2 linked regions of the Kluyveromyces lactis genome follow. The protein of the gene in region 2 interacts with the protein of the main gene of each other region in a biochemical or structural test. Links are inferred from orthologs where the notes say so. Each region holds a gene or a part of one and is shown on either strand. Other genes may lie near its edges.

What was found.
Region 1: the proteins of RPN11 (region 2) and STS1 form a complex in vitro, tested with the Saccharomyces cerevisiae proteins (2 studies listed by BioGRID). The link is inferred for Kluyveromyces lactis from reciprocal best matches to the Saccharomyces cerevisiae genes RPN11 and STS1.

Annotation. Positions count from the first base shown.
Region 1 is NC_006040.1:1,331,987-1,334,813, forward strand, and holds STS1 (Sts1p), read right to left. Parts: upstream 1,584-2,827; coding exon 582-1,583; downstream 1-581. Other genes in the region: RCF3 (Rcf3p), read right to left, coding at 1-171; SQT1 (Sqt1p), read left to right, coding at 2,145-2,827. UniProt on the Saccharomyces cerevisiae protein: Involved in ubiquitin-mediated protein degradation. Regulatory factor in the ubiquitin/proteasome pathway that controls the turnover of proteasome substrates. Targets proteasomes to the nucleus and facilitates the degradation of nuclear proteins.
Region 2 is NC_006041.1:1,251,344-1,254,247, reverse strand, and holds RPN11 (proteasome regulatory particle lid subunit RPN11), read left to right. Parts: upstream 1-1,432; coding exon 1,433-2,368; downstream 2,369-2,904. Other genes in the region: linker nucleoporin NIC96, read left to right, coding at 1-35; type 1 protein phosphatase-activating protein YPI1, read right to left, coding at 283-750; mRNA splicing protein SAD1, read right to left, coding at 2,481-2,904. UniProt on the Saccharomyces cerevisiae protein: Component of the lid subcomplex of the 26S proteasome, a multiprotein complex involved in the ATP-dependent degradation of ubiquitinated proteins.

The DNA.
Region 1 (2,827 bases), on a different chromosome or scaffold from region 2:
AACCTGGGTCCGCACGTTCCTGTACGTGGTAGAAAACTTCCTTAGTAATAACGCCGTTACTAACCCAATGGCTGCACCTTTCAAAGCACCAATACCAGACGCAATAGCTATCTCTTTGGTTAATTGTTTCACTGTGCTTGGATCATAATGAACAGGTTGAACGTTTCCCATAACGGATGAATTTATCTATAATTTACGATACGTATAACGGCAGCCACGTAAAATTTAAGCTCAAACAGATATGACTTGTCCTGAGGTGCCAGCTGTCCTAATTTTGCCATTCTTTTTTCCATCTCTGCTTTCGAATGTGTAAAAGGGAAGCTTTATCAAAGCGATAAATGCATCAGTTTTAAATAAAGAGTATGGCATGACATATGAAGTTAGAGAGAAAGGGAACAGAGGAACAGGGTGAGTGATGCAAGTTTTGTATTAGAGAGCTATATATGTATAGACAAGGATATATAGATGGCCATTATGATGTTTCAAAATATCTTCCTTTTTTGGTCTGTTTGTGGGCGTTTTCTTTATATATAATGATGATTCTATGATGAGGGTGGGTTCAGCTGTCACATTTGTCCCCGTCAGCTGCTAATGTTTAAGAACCCAACAGTGGACGGTTGTGTTTGAGACAGCGGGTGACCGTTTCTGTCCTGTGACATCATAGCGGCCGAGTTCTTGATAGTCCCTATCAGTTCCAATGGTTTCTGTAGTCTATTGTTCGATCTTCCATTCAACGTATGCAATACAGACTCCCAATCTTCTAAGTTGGAAACCACGGACATAAAGGATAAATCTGTGGATGCGAATTGTATACAACTGCACCAAATCTCAGATATTTGTTCAAAACACATATTCTTGTAGTAATTATTCGAAGCTGTCTCGAAATCAGGCAATTGGTTCAAAAAATCTGTAGAACAGTTCAAGAACTTCAATGATTGTAACACACTATCCGATTGTGGAGGGATGCTAGACAATAGGAAATCGATGACACAGTTTAAAAATTCCATGATTGAAGCCTTCATACGGCCAAAAGCATAATCGTTTAACAAACCATCCGAGCTTTGATTATACTTGGAATACGGAATATCCTCATACACCTGAGTCAATTTCTCCTTCAATACCTTGACGTACTGTTCCTTGTTGAAACTTATAGATTGTACCTTGGAAAACAGCGAATGCTGAATCTCTGGATGTTCCCTTACCAACGAAAGTAAGACAGACTGCAGTAACTGTTTATCCATCAATTCTACAGATCTCGGGAACGGAAGTGGCTGTCCTTGGATATAGTTCCGGTACACCGGTTTCTTTTTACTGACCCGTTGCACAACTTGAGACACAGGCCCATTCATCGAAACGTCTTCTTCTGTGTAACGTCTCTTGATTCTAGGCTTTGAAATACGACGTGAAGACGTTCCATGCGTAAGTCTATGCTGACTACTCTGAATATGACCATGAGCGCGCTCATGGTCGTTACTGATGTCATTGCTCTCAGTAGAGCTCGTCTGTTCTTGACCCATGTTCAAATTCTCACCAGAAGAAACACTGGGGCGAAATCCCCATTCAAACCCAACACTCTGGCTCATTGCAGTAGCTTAAAATCCTATACTGTATTGTGTTATTGAGACGCTTATTCCAGCACCAGTATCAAACCCTCTGGATAATGGATAACCTGGTTTCGTTGGGTAGTTTCCTTTATGCATTTGTGCAAAACTGATACAGAATGTTATAGATAGAATATGGAATTTGAACCAGTTTCCATAAGGCACTAAATCGTATATGGTGACAAAATTACTCAAGATTATCCGAAACTTGGTCATTAGAGCACCAAACCGGTTACTTGGAAGGCGTATTACTGTCCAATAATGATCGAAGGATAGCTATATGGTATCTGAACAGTACAAGCTGACTATAATAGTCCAATTAGACCATATTTGCACATTTGCGTTTCTTTTACGTCCTTTTCTTTCTCTTTAAGCACTGAAAAATTTCAGTTTAAAGCTCATCTCATCTCATCACTTGAAGATGACTTACTAATGCAAAGTGTATTGAAAGTTCATATCTGTTTGTTTCTGGCTTAGTTAAAGGATCGGAATACCACTGTTAATCCACAGCTCACGGAGAATTATAGTTGTTTACTGATTAACATGGACAACACCGAATTGAATACAGCGGACAATGTTCCTGAAGAAGAGTTCATTGCAGATGAGGAAGTTGGTGAAGAAGTTGTCTTAGATAACGTTGAACCTAGTGAGAATATTGGTGATGATGACGATAATGATCAAGAGATGGGCGGTTTAGATGGTGCTGAGACCCTTGAGATCGATATGTCTAATAATTCAAGTGGATTTTTCGATAAGCATACTGATTCTATATTTTGCATTGCACACCACCCTACTTTGCCCCTAGTGATGACCGGTGGTGCAGACAACGTAGCGAACTTGTGGACTTCTCATTCGAAACCTCCTAAGTTTGCTGGATCCTTAGAACATACTGAGTCTGTGATTTCTGGTGGGTTCACACCTGATGGGAAGTTTTTAATCACTGCAGATATGAACGGTAAGGTATTTATTCATAAGTCTGTGAAGGGCGGTGCTCAATGGAAACGTTGTAGCGAGTTAGAAGAAGTGGAAGAAGTTGTGTGGTTAAAAGTACATCCAACGGTATCGGGTGTTTTTGCATTCGGTGGTGTTGACGGATCGGTATGGTGCTATCAGTTGAACAACGTGGATGGGTCGTTGTCTCAGATCATGTCCGGTTTCTCTCATCAACAGGACTGTACCATGGGTGAGTTCATTAATGTAGAAGAAGGTGAGAACAATTTGACTTT
Region 2 (2,904 bases):
ACAGCATATTAATCAATATAGAAGTTGGTTTGTAGCAGAGCTCTCATTTATGAGCACCTGAGTTATGTCAGAACCCAGACGTCCTACCATAATAGCATACAATAAAATAACCATGTGTAAGTCGATTGTTATTCGATATAATTGCCTGATAGATTATATATGCATATGTATATATATACATTTGAACTGCCAATTACCTTTTCAGCAGTGCATTGTTGTAGTGAGTAGAAGATGCAACGAAATGTACAAGAAGTGAAAGAGTATGCTGATCAAATTCCTAAATCATTGAGCGTCTTTTCTGTTCTTATCTCTATAAGCGCTGTAATCTGGCTGGACTTCGTATGCATTCGGACTTGGTGGACGTTTTTGCTCAAGCTTTTTTCTCCGCCTTTCGAGTCTTGCCTTTCTTCTTTCGTCAAAGCTTTTTCCCTCATCCTCGTCTGAAGAAGACGAAGATGATGAAGACGATGAATCATGTCCATGATTATGATCGTGCTCGCACTCTCCTTCCTCTTCTTCATCACTCTCTAATGGGGTATTAGGATGGAAAATGCAACAAATCTTAGTTTTCTTCTTGTTCATGTTCTCATTATCTATTACTTTCTCATCCCATCTTACTTTAGACTTGGTGTCCTTCTTCTTAGTTTTGTTTTTCTCATTCTGGCCAGCACGCAATTGAAGCAGCTGCGGAACCTCCGTAACAGTGACGGTATGCGTTCCTTCAGGAAGAGCAGAAGGTCCTTCACTCATATGTTAGGAAATATTTCAAAGTTTAATTATGATGATGGATCAAACTGATAAAAAAAGCGTGACGATAGGTAAAGTTTTCCTGTCTAAGTCTTGATAATCTTTCGTAATTTCACTTATCAAAGGACTGGGAACAAAGTATGAATAATGTAAGAAATCGTTTCCTATTTCTAAAATCTTCGGCGTCAATAAAACGGAATATTTTCTTCAACAAGTCGTGCTCTCGAGTATTTGACTGTACTAGACCATGGAGCTTCGCTTTGTATATGAGATATCCATGTATGCATAGAAGTACTCCAGTCTCATCTCATTTTTAAAGGGAAGAAAGAGGTTAAATATCTGAAGGTCAGAAAGTGGTGATGTTCGTTAATAATGACTACTAAATCCATAAGCCAAAAGAAAGATCGTAACTTTGTAATGCAGTGGCAAACAGTTTACAATTGATAAAGGTATAAGCAGATAATTCGTCAAGAATTCTCATCTCTGTACGTGTGGTATCCATAAGTCATTATTAGCAGTATTAGATACACAGTAATTGAAATCTACAAGACAATTGCATACTTCTCAGGAAAGAATAAGAATTTCAATTTGTTGGTACTTTATTAAGGAAGTATTATATCAAGAAACAGAACGCTGATACAAAAGCCAATTTATCGTCTCCGCAATTCAAATCCTTCAACAAAAGATGGAAAGTTTACAAAGAATGATGATGTCTCAAAGAGCAGGCATGATGGGTGCCAATGCCACCGAGGTTCCCCTTGATGACACCAAGGAAACTGTGTACATTTCTTCTCTTGCATTGTTGAAGATGTTGAAACATGGGAGAGCTGGTGTTCCAATGGAAGTCATGGGTCTTATGTTGGGAGAATTTGTTGATGATTATACAGTAAACGTTGTCGATGTGTTTGCCATGCCTCAGTCAGGTACAGGTGTTTCTGTCGAGGCTGTTGATGATGTTTTTCAAGCTAAGATGATGGATATGTTAAAACAAACAGGAAGAGATCAAATGGTTGTCGGATGGTACCATTCACATCCGGGTTTTGGTTGTTGGTTATCTTCAGTAGATGTGAATACTCAGAAATCATTTGAACAATTAAACAGCAGGGCTGTGGCGGTGGTTGTTGATCCTATTCAATCGGTGAAGGGTAAAGTGGTCATTGATGCATTCAGACTAATTGACCCTTCTACTGTCATGAGAAACCAGGAACCAAGGCAAAATACTTCTAATATCGGGTTGATCAACAAACCGAATATTCAAGCGTTGATTCATGGTCTAAATAGGCATTATTACTCGCTTAATATCGATTATCACAAGACTTCCGCCGAAATGAACATGTTAATGAATCTACATAAGGAACAATGGCAATCGGGACTAAAAATGCATGATTTCAAGGAAAGAGAGGAGCACAACTTGGGTGAAACTCAGAAAATGATTAAGATCGCTGAACAATTCACTAAGAGAATTGAGGAAGAGAGAGAATTGAGTGAAGAAGAATTGAAAACGCGTTATGTAGGAAAACAGGATCCAAAAAGACATCTTGCAGAGACTGCTGAAAAGCTCTTGGAAGACAATATAGTATCTGTATTAACAGCGGGTGTTAACTCTGTTGCTATTAAATAACCATCTTACATACAGTAAAAATACATCAACTTCAATTTGCGAGATAAGTTTTAGCCGATGAAATGATGAATCGATCCAAGAGTGTAGATAATCTGAATAACGAAAGCAGTTTCTAAACGCGTTGCCATATTTGAATGTAACATTCTTTAAGGAAAAGAAACTCTTTCTCAACCTTATTCACTTCAATGTCATCAAACTCGTACCATTGGTCGCGTAAAGTATCAGCGAGGTGTACTTTCCATCTGCTGGCTAACAAATCTTCTGTATCCGATATTTTCATTTGTATTACGCAATCATGGGTGATATTTACTAGTAATTTATAGTGTACACCACTGAATTCTAATTTTTCAGAGAACTCTACTAGAGTTTTGTTTCTATCTTTAATGGAAGTGAAGCCTTTGTCAAACCTGTTGAAATGAAGTATTAGGAATTTAGGATGCTTCAATATACGGTACGTTTTGATGGAATCTTTGGTATGGTATTCTGTTTCGCCATTGAATTTTTGTAAAAGTGTTTCCAGTTTCGTCTGAGATACA